2 linked regions of the Drosophila melanogaster genome follow. The protein of the gene in region 1 interacts with the protein of each later gene in a pairwise test. Each region holds a gene or a part of one and is shown on either strand. Other genes may lie near its edges.

Evidence for each region.
Region 2: the proteins of Cpr50Ca (region 1) and CG14931 interact in a two-hybrid assay, tested with the Drosophila melanogaster proteins (one large-scale study listed by BioGRID).

The regions. Positions count from the first base shown.
Region 1 is NT_033778.4:13,767,091-13,773,963, reverse strand, and holds the start of Cpr50Ca (cuticular protein 50Ca), read right to left. Parts: upstream 4,050-6,873; 5' UTR 3,991-4,049; intron 3,199-3,990; 5' UTR 2,990-3,198; coding exon 2,948-2,989; intron 1-2,947.
Region 2 is NT_033779.5:11,786,758-11,791,107, reverse strand, and holds CG14931 (uncharacterized protein), read right to left. Parts: upstream 2,775-4,350; 5' UTR 2,567-2,774; coding exon 2,518-2,566; intron 2,456-2,517; coding exon 2,331-2,455; intron 2,275-2,330; coding exon 1,777-2,274; 3' UTR 1,633-1,776; downstream 1-1,632. Other genes in the region: Tsp33B (tetraspanin 33B), read left to right, coding at 1-15; CG14932 (uncharacterized protein), read right to left, coding at 172-625, 682-738, 798-836, 894-932, 993-1,049, 1,103-1,104.

The sequences.
Region 1 (6,873 bases):
CAATAATTTACGACCATCTGCGAGGGTTGAACCAACTTTGGTTTACATATACGCCCGCCCCAGACTCATAAATAATCCGAATATGTCCAGCTGTCCGTCCACCTGATTTTTGGTCGTCTGCCCACTTTCACTTTCCACCAATCCCCATTTGGACGGAAGCTGCAGCTTCAACTGCAAGTGGAACCTGGCCTGAACTCAGCTCGATTCTTGGGGTCTTGGCGAAATAAAAGTGAGGAGAAAGAAAAGAAATATCAGAAAAAATAAACAAATGGAACGAGTTTAGCACGCGCTCCTCGCGATCCAAGTTTGTTGGGAGTTCGCCTGGCCGCCACTTTCACGTCAACAGGTTGAACTTGGCTTTTATGGCCATTAAACTCATTGATGTGCGATTTCAATTGCTTTGCTGGCACTCTCGTTTTACGTAAGACCAATTATGGCTGTCGAATTGATTTTGGCCAGTGATGCAATTCGATCAGCTGTATTATTAACTTACATTTCGCGATGGATTGCGATAGGAGAGCGGCTGTGGTATTTCACTGGCTAAGAAGCAGGAACTAAACTAAATCAGGTGTTAAGATACCGTGAGACTCGTAAATGGCTACATAGTGAAGTTATCGCCCCCACCCCCCCTGGGGATACTTTAACTAAGCCCATCGAGCCAAACCCAAATGAACTGTCAACGGTCGTTAAAAATGCAGCCGCGTAAACATTTAACGGCCGTTAAAACTGCGCCTGAGTGAATTTTTATGGAGTTAGCAACGCCAACGATGCTGCCAAACGGCCACGCCCCCAGCGCCCCTTCTAGACCCTAGTGCCCCCCTCCCCACTCTCCAACTGAGCCTAGTAACCTGAAAAATGCAGTGAACTTTCCAAACAAACATATATATATATATATATGGTGGGCAAATGTTGAACCTCTGGCAGCCACCCACTTGGGTTGCATAAAATTGTATGTGCTTTCTATTTAACACTTTTTATTTTTTTTGGGTGGCTTGGGTTCTGCGTTTATTTTTTTTTTCGCCCGGAAAAAGTGTCTTTTCATTTCAGATGGGACACGCGCTAGATTCGTTTGAAAACTCAATGCAAAGAAGCGATAAAAATTGTTGCTATTTGCGTTCGTTTCAGTTTGCTCAGTCGGATTTTATGGCATTAGAAGTGCTGCGAAAACTAGTTAACAATTCCTTTACGATCCGCTAAGAGAGGCAAAAGGAGCGAAACTACTACTTCAACTTCTACTCCTACTTCTAATACTACTATCTGCATGGCGTTTTAAAAGTTTTCTTTTGTTTTGACATTATTTGGGAAATTGAAACTGTAATATTTGCAGCGAGAGCTGCGAGAGCTAAAGTTTGATTAAATTACGTTTTTACCATTTGGCTTTCGAGTTTTACAGCTGTTTACAAGTTGTATTTATTGTACTGGCAGTTTAAAAGTGCTGAACTGGCTTTTATTGTACTCGGTTTATTTTTTCAAGACAAATAACCAATAATAAAAGTCAGCATGGCATGGAGGTGATAAACTTGTAAAAGCAATTCAATTAGTTTTGATCATCTTCTGGCTTCTTAGTTACAAGGGAATCAACATCTCAGTGGGCAAACAGAAGGTGTTTTTTGTATCAGCATTCAATTAGTTTTAGAAAAATCATTTATTTTGTGGAAATTCGTTTTGGGTTAATATAAACTAAATCACTATCTTTTGTTTGATTTGATTAAGTTTTGGATTCGTGTATGTTTTTATTTATTTATAATTTTTTCTCTAAAGTTCCATGTCTTTAACCCAATCAATACAAACACATTCCCTCTGGACTTTATTGTTCTCGTTCGCTTTCTTTCATGTCGAGCAGGTTGCTTCATTAAATGGTTTCTGTAATTGCTGTTTGGCCACAAGTTTGTTTAATTGTTGGCTGCAATATGCGCTTACGGCATCGTCTCTTGTTGTATGCAACAAGCCGGAAAAACGTGCCACCCAGACGAGTGGTATGGTGTGGAGTGGAGTGGGCCAAGACCCAGGGCCAAGACTAAGTTCCAGACCAAGAGCAAGACCAAGACGGAGAGCGAGTCGAGACAGCAGAAGAAATGGTAGCAGGCAGGCAAAAGGCACAGCTTGGGCTAATTGTTAATGTGGCAGTGAGATGTGGGTGGTGCAACGTGGGTAGTTACCAACTGCAGTGGCCGTGGCAGTTAGAACCAGTTTGGTCTTTTTTGCCCTGGCCAAAAACCGGCGGCAAAGTCAAGTTCAATGCACATAAAAGACTTTACGGGTCTAGAAAGTGCTGGGGGTACGAGTGCTTCCTGGGCCACAAGGAAACTTGGCTGAAAAGAAATGCCAGCAATGGTCGCAAACTTTTTTTTTTTTTTTTCCATCCACTTAAATTGCAAATTTCCAGTTTCGATTGCAAATGCTGCTGGTGCATTTTCCTTTCGTCCCGGCAGTTGGATATGGATTCCAATGTCGATTCGGTTAGATAACCACAGCGGGCCTTCATAAAGACCGGGGTCATAAAATGGAGAGCGTTTTGGCCAAAAAGCACAAACAATCAATGCCAGTTGCATAACGAATTTTTGAGCAAAGATACTTTGGAATACGCTTTATGATTTTAATGCCTGGTAATTAAACGAAGTCTGGCCAGTATTCGCTGGTTTCCGGGCTAATTGAAGTTCAAGTGCAATGAAAATAAATTGCTTGCGAAATGTGCGTGCGCCAGGAAAATGAGAAGAAGCCCGCCATATGCAGTGACTGGCCGCGTCCATTTCCTGGCCAGAAAATGAAAATCGCTGCATCGAAGGCCGACACTTTTCCCAGGCCCACGCCCAGAAATTTCGCTCGAAGTCTCTCCACTGGCGCTTGTTGTTTTCACGCCTCGATGGCCCTTGCAGTTGTCGGTTATTTATATTAAAATTTCAGAATGATGAACCCGACCCGAAACGAACCGACCCCATGTACTTACCATTAAGGTGGGGATGCCACCGCCGCAGATAGCCATTTCCATTTTCCTTGGATGTCGGCGGAAGTTCGGGCAAATGAGGCGTCAAGTTGCACGTTGCACTTTTCGCGTTTCCACAAAAGTGGCAGCTCAATTTGTAATTGTTGTTGAAATTTCTGTTATTCTCCCACGCTGTTTTTCGCCGTCTTGGTATTTTAAATACAAATTGTAAATGAGTTTGTTCAGCGTTGAACCTTATTGTTTGTTTGTCGGACCTGGAAAAGTATTCGTTCAGTTTGGTTAACTATCACAGCAGCTAATTGCGAAAAGTGCTTTTCAAATTCTCATATTAACTGTTTTAAACATTTCCCCATAATTATGAAACATCATAATTAACAAATTAGTAAAACAAAAATCATTATATGGTACTTTAACAGATGACACATCTGCAAAGGCTGTGTTAAATGAGTACTTTTTAAAACTATGAAGGCAGAAAAATAGTATCCTGCGATTTCAAAAATTCCTGTTCTTAGAAAATCAAATGAATGACAAATGAATGAATTATGTTTAATGAGAATTATTTCTGATCTTATATTCTTTACCAAAATCTTTTTCATTAGTAACTAAGAGATTTTTGAGATAAAACAAGACCATAAAATCTAATTTAACAAATTTAACTATCTAACTAATCGTTTTCGTTATTCGTCCTTAGATGTTTCACTTATAAGTTTCACTTTTGTCATTCAGTAAAATATTCATTAATTTGCTCGACGTTTAACTTGATGCGTTTATATTTTTTTGATTTAATTTATTTTAAGGTATATTATATCCTTGTTAGCCAGCACTTTGGTTAAATGTAATGCAAGCTCTTTATATTTTTTTTTTTTTTACAAAATGATTTTCTCATATCCTTTGCGGAGAAAAGCAAACTTTGACTATATTCATTCAACTTTGTCTTTGAGCTTTGTTTAAACTTGCTCGTCGCAGTCCTCGTTCGTTTCTCATTTATTTAATGCGACTTTTAATTTGAGTTTTCGTTTCGTTTCGTTTCGCTTTGCCTTGTTTACTTTTGGCTGGAAAAACTGTGGAGGAAAACCGCACGCTTGCGCGCTGCTGTTGCAACTGTGCCTCGAATTTTCGCGCCACTTGAGTTTTGTGTGTGTTCGGGGCCGCGCAGTTTTCACGGAGACAGCCGGTTTGTTGTTGGCTCGCTTTTCGCTGCCTCGCTTTTCCCATTTTCCATTTCCATTCCTTTGCCTTTGCCGAAAAGACTCGGCCATGTCTGGCGTATTGCTGTTGCATTTTCCATATTTTTTCTCCTCCTTCTTTTTTTTTTGAATTTTATTTTTTTATGTGTGGGGCATAATAAGCTGCTGATTAAATTTGCAACGCTCAGAAGGAAGTCGAATTTGCAATTTATTCGGGGAAATTCATTTGCATTCCAAATCTGTGGGGATAAATGGAAATTAGACAGGTGCTACGATGCCAAAAATGATTTTACCTATATTAATTGTTACATTTTTTATAAATTCCAATGATTAAGAGTTTATTAAAGTTGTCTTTATATTTGATATATATATTCTTCAAACAGAGCATTTCTTTTTCGACTTTTGAAAATTGAAAACCTCACCACTCACTTGATATTTGTCTTTTAGCTGGCTGCATTTCGAGCTGCTTTTTTGGCCATGGCTTTGGCCAAGGCGTTAGCCAACTTTTGACCATCAACATTTGCACAATATGCGCTGTTGCTGTGCTGATGACAACGAAATGTACAAGTTTTCCTACCATCTGTGTGCATTTTTCTTTATTTTTTACGAGGGCTTAGAGTGCGTGCGTCTGGGGATAAAACTGAGCTCAGTGCCGTCATGGTTGTATAATTAATTTATTAATGGCAACAAGTGAAATGCACTGCCACGCATTTCCTATAAGGCTTGGCCCAGCCTGATTATGTGATTTATAGGAACTTATATATTTATAAGTTTGATATTGATATTTATATTTGATTTATAGAACTTATACCCCTTGGTTGGTGTGATGTGGTGACTGGTGGGTAAGAGAGTGCTAACCCCTGGGAAAGTTCAACTGCAGATATTATGCAACAGGCAACCGCGAGTCACGCACGCGCTGCCGCAAATGAAGTAGCTGACAAATTATCTTTATTTCATTTTATATTATTTTATTGCAGCCCATGGTGGGACTTTAAAGCGGCTTAGAGTGGCGAGGTCGGACTATCTGTTCGAGTGCATCGAAACCTGGGCCAGATGCTGAGCTGATTGGGGATTTTTGGCTATGATTGGTGGTTACCACGGGAAAGAGAGTGAGAGAGAGAGGGGGGGAGGCGGCTTTTGGCACTTTCACATTTGTTTTTGCTGGTGTTGAAATTGAGTTATTAGAGGAGAGCCATGTAAGCGACCAGGGGCGTATACTTAATATTTAAGCAAGGGGGGGGGGGGGGTAATATTCCCAGCTTACTAATGAATACATATAATTTTTATCAATTTTATAAAATCGTTTCTTTTTCATGACCAGAGCTTTCGACATCACTTTCTTTACCCCTTCCGCCGAGAGTCTTAATTCCACACCTCTGGGCACGTTCCTCGGGCAATGTGCCAACCTCCTACCGAAAGCCACATAATTGCTGTAATCGCGGTGGAGATTTGCAATCTCGTAATAAATTCAGACACCGAAGATGCGCCAGAAGTTGGAGGAGCCGCTCCCTCCGGCCGGAAACCCCCATGTGGCCACCAGATGCGTCGCCAGTTGCAGCTGCAATAGGCGGAAATCTCACACAGAAAGTTGCATTGCGGATGCAGTCATCGTCGTCGTTGTCGTCTCCCGGCTCCATCTCCATTTCCATTCCCATTTCGATCTCCTCCAGACTTCGGTTGCATTTGTGCGGAAGTTTAACCAACTAACAAAGTGACTTCGAGCTCGAATCGGGGGCAACAATTGTTGGCCAAATGTGTGGATCTGTTAACGCTTCCAGCCGCTCATCCCGGTCAACTGGTTGATCCAATCGAGGCAACGATGTTCCAGTTTTGACAATGGCCATGCCCGAAACTTAATTGCCATTAAATTGTTTCGCTTAAAACTTGGACAGTTGGTCATTTGGTTTTGAGGAAATGACCGCACCGCCGCTGATCGGATCGCATCGAACATTTTAATTGACTCGCTGCCAGCTTCCTTCATTCGCCAGATCAGGATCTTCCTGCTCCCTGCTGGTCTCCCTGCCGCTGCCTTAATTGTCCGACACTTCCCGTTCACTTCGTGGTTTTGCTTCCCATCAGCCCATCCTCCAGTCGCCGCCATCTATCCTGGCCGCCATGCCATACCGTGCCAGACCGAACCGAACCAAACCAAACCGACTAGACCAGGCCGAAATCTAATTACGCCATCGCAGCCAGAAAGCCAACGAGCGCAGCAAATTGACAACACAATAAACAGGAGGCCAAAAGGGGGAATGGAAGTTCCGAGTTACTGGACTGGGAAGGTTGGAGTGCAGCTAGGGCAGTTCGGAGGTTTCGGGTGTCACACATGTGCGACAGTTTCTGATTTATGAACACAATTTCCACTTTGACAATGAGCGAGTTCTCCAACTCTCTAGCACTTCGCCGATAGCTCCACAGAGACAAAAGTGGATAAATAGGAAAGTACACTGATTGGAAAAAAAACAGTAACCTGCGCTGTTTTTAAACTTAAAGTTGGAAAGATTTGGCAGGCAAATATTAAGGGCTTAGTGCTACCATACAAGTTCTTATGTTTTTTGACTTTAAAGAAGTTTAAAAAAACTGTGTAAAAGTACTAAGTACTTAAATATTTAAAGGATTTTAAGGATTAAGTGAAATCCAATTGAAAAGAGAACAAAGTAAAATCTTATAAGAGTATTTGCAATATTCAAGTATCCATAGTTTTTTCCCAGTGCAGCTTCCAAGCAGATGAGCCGCTGCCCC
Region 2 (4,350 bases), on another chromosome or scaffold:
CCGTGTGGATACTAATATTGTGCTTAATTTTACTTTTATATTTTATATTAATTTAATTAAATTTACGAATTTGAGTTAACTTCATATCCAATCGGTGAACGCAATATATTATTTATTGGATATTATAGGATACTTATTACATGGATGTTGTAACATTGGATGTTAAATGGATTAACGGCGCATCCTCTTGGATTTCTTCAAAGTCTGACCCACCAGTTGAGCAATATGTTTGCGCAATGCCAAGAAAGGCTTCAAGCAGACGCGCTGCTCGACGAGACCCACAGCAATGCGGTGAAAGAACTCGGTGACATCCACGGGCTTGGCCAGCAGCTGACCTTGTGATACCGAGCCGTTTTCCTCTGAGGCCTCGGGCGTAGGGCTACGTGCCATTCTACGGATGAATGGTTCCAAGTTGCCCCTGCTACGTTGGGAAACGCGAGCTCCAATGGACTCTGATAGCGCATTATTGGCGCGAGAGAAGGTGAGACGCTCCTGAGATCCCGAGTCGTTTTGATCCGGAGTCTCTGGCTTCTGTATCACCAGTTCGGGTGAGGTGGGGTTTTTCTTTGGAATTTTCGGAAACTCGGTAATTTCGGTAATCTCCAAAGCACTGTGGGGACGTCTTCTGTAGAGAATCCGAACCCGTTATTCCACGTTCTACATTACGAAACTATAACTTACGGTGTACCCGCCTCATAAGTGACATATGGGGACCAGTCTGCCCCATCCAAATCCATACTAAAAGGTTCACAAAATGAAGAAAAATGATTTTGTTTTATAACATTAAATTTACTCACTCATCTTCGTTGGAACAGTCATCATCTTGATCACTTTCCCTGATTATAAGGCAACTTAAAAATAATCTATCAAAACATTATATTAAAAAGACTTACACAGAAGACTCGCAGGTAATCTCGTCACTTTCGGGAGCACTAGAAAGGAAATACATATATTGTCAGTGTTTTTCTGAAGCTAAATTAATGAAGTCTTACGTAGCTTCTTGATATTCATCATCATCGCCCACAATATGAGGAACCTTTGATTGGGACCTGCAATGAATAATCCATCAATATATTTAATGAACTGCTTTAATTTTAATTACATTTTTAACAAATTTTCAACGCCTAGCTCCTGGAAAATGACAATGTGAAAAGCCGTGCGGCCAGTGTGTCCACTCCAAGGAATGTTTAATAAGAACATCAGTGTTGATCAAAATACTGTTGAAAACTTACTGGAGCATATGTAATTAATATATAAAATTCAGTTAAAGCTCAAGTCACGTGTTCTTAACATTTAGTAAAAATAGAAATTTATACTAAAGGTTTTGGTAAATTTGAGCCTTAAAATTTTGGTTAAGTTTAGCCTTAAAATGGCAGTTAAACATAAAAAGTTTAAATTCCTATAAAAAGACGTACCAGTGTTGTACAACAGGCTTAATTTACAAACTTCCAAATACAAATGTAATTATACATATTTATGTAAAGTCAAGCCATCACAATTTAATTCCACCTTTGGAAATGTTTTTATATATTGGGTGTTCGTTTTTATTGAACTTGACATGCTTATGACTAAATAGTTAAGGAAACTGGAATTGGAATAAATACAGCTCGACCAAAAACACAAGCCACAATTATGCAATAAATTCAATCCTTTAATGTGACATATAGTTAACTTATTCGAGTACTCTTTCTTAGACATATGTGGGCTATAAACATTGTAAAATCTCTACTGCATTCGATTGGGAAACATAAACCACAAGACATGGGCGGAAATAGCCTATTCCTGGCTGATTTCATTGGCATCTGAGAAATCCGAGACGGCGACGCTGCTGGTGCTGATTAAATGTCGATCGGGCATTTCGCCGATGGAAGGAAGAGTGGTGCTATCGCTGGCGCTGGACAAAGATATCTCCTCCCAGCTGACGCCGGAGTCGCATTCGTTGCCCGGGGAAACGGGTGTGGCGTCGGCATTGTGCGGCTCATCCTCCGGTGCCTGGCCAATGCTGATAGCCGGCGTTGCTCTGGAACGTTTGCCAACTAGTTCGACGTTTTGATTGCGATCCGCAGCAATGCGCTTGCGATCGGGAATTTGATTGCCCGTGGTGGGACTCCAGTCCATGGCACGGTGCACCAAAGCCCGAAAAGTTATACGGATCGGCTCGCTCGGTGGACTGTCCATGTCTGAGGGATTTCTTCTGGACACTTGCGGCGACATGATCATCGTGGAGTTGTGCAAAGCACTGGGATGCGAAGTCAAAAAATCAGACTCGCTCTCCTGTCGACATTAATGAGAAGCTAATTACTATTTATTGTTTATTGTTAACTGAATACTTTTCCCACGTGCAGAGCCCTTTCTAGATCCTCATCCTGGGGACTGATACTAGCTGATTGCTGCACGACACTTGCTAATTCGGTCATTTCCTCAATATCCATGCCTTCCTCGTAAACGCCTGCGCCTGAGCAAATAGTTAGTTATATATGTATGTATGTTAAGGACGTCTAATTTAGAATATCTTACTTTTGAGGAAGTCAACTAATCTCCTGTTTGTTCGGCTGCGTAACTCCATTTTCAATGGGACAAAAACAACAACTTTAGTACTAATATTATGTGGTTACAATGCATTTGCTCTTGTTCTTGCTGCTAACGGAACTTTTCGCCAAACTGAAATCGTCTATAACGCCATATCGATAGTTAAGATGTGATCTCAAGTAATGGTCACACTTAGAGATGGTGCAACAAGTTTTCGAGTTGTATGTGAAAATATTAAAAACTATTTAAAAAAAAAAAAAAACGATAAGGCTCTGAAAATGTTGTGGTTATTATAAAGTGATATAAGTGATTAAGTTCTATAATGTAACTTGATAAAATTGTATATGTTTTCCTCGTAATTTAAGTCCAGTCTTTTAATTACCTCAACAAAAAGCCTTTAAACTTCGTTTGGTATTACACTTAAAAAACAATTTATGGGTAAAAAGCTGGGCTCCAAAATGGCGAAGTTTTAACACCAGCTCTGCGAAGTTGAAATGCATCGTGAAAAAAGTAAATACTTTGCGAACTTTTTGTGTGGTCAACCTGCTGACCAAAGTTGCAGCTTTCACTACCCACAACGCTGGCAATTGTTTTTCTAATTTAAGTAAAAAAATATGCGTCTCTTTGCATTTCGTTTGCATGCCCAGCCACCTGCGAGTTTTCTGGCCCCCTGAACACGCCCCTTTCACTTTTTACATACATACCTCGGACCCCATCGTTGCATCCCAAAACGAAAAGCGAGTTGAAATTCAACAAAATGTCAAAATGCCACTTGAAGTCAGTTTGCCATTTTCGCTGCCATGGAGCGCCTTTTCGACCCGAAAATTGTTCTTTCTGTGGGGCAGTTTTCAGCTCGACTTTGTCCCCATGGAAAGTCATAATACCCTGAATATTTTGAGATCATACACGGACTGGGGTGCTTCAGAAATATGCAGGCTTATGAAAACCTATTTAATAGCATTCGTAAATTTTTCGTGCCTTAATTTAGATAGGTTAAAAAAAGAATTTACGTTACATGTGTACCTTGTTAAGTTTTTTAAAAAACAAAAATATATAATTTATTATATTCCATATATTTACATATTTTATACAATTTATTTTGGTTTTTCATATTTTTCAAGGTATTTACATTATTTTCTTGTTATATTTTGGGCATAACTTTTTTCCTGATACTATTTTCTATATAACCAAATTATTTTGCTGGTTAAAACCAGCGACACCAAAAATAAAAGCACAAAAAATAGGAAAAGTTTCGATGTCGTCGCGTTGGCGAGCATTGCTTCTTTTGCATAGGAGTCGCCATTGAGTCCCAACTGCATTTGGCTTTACTTTCCCCTCGCCGTCGACCCACCCAAACCTCAGTTTTAGTGGCACGTCAAAGGCAAATAAATAAAAAAAAGAATGAAAAAAAAAAAAATTGAGAATAGAAGAAAAACCTGGACCAAAGCCGTTTGTGTTAGCCCGCATTTTGTACAGTTTTTGGCTGGCATTTAAAGTCCGTTCAATTACCGCGAAACACGTTTGACAGGGCAACAAAAAATAAAATAAAACGTCGACTTGAATTATTTGCGTTAGCTAAGGTAACGAGTTTAAGCGTTCTGAGTGGCGAAAATGTATTCAAATTTTATGCGTTCCTTTAACCCTTTAATGCCCCACCCCTTTTCGCAGGCAGTGAAGCAGCTAACACTTATTGGATTAGCAAATATGTGCCGCTGTCGATTTGCTTTTAGTGGCTCCGTTTTATGTTTTCATTATGGTGGGGGACTAAAGGATTTTCGCCATTAACTTTTGCTCGCCAGCTTTCCGGCACATTAGGCAGCC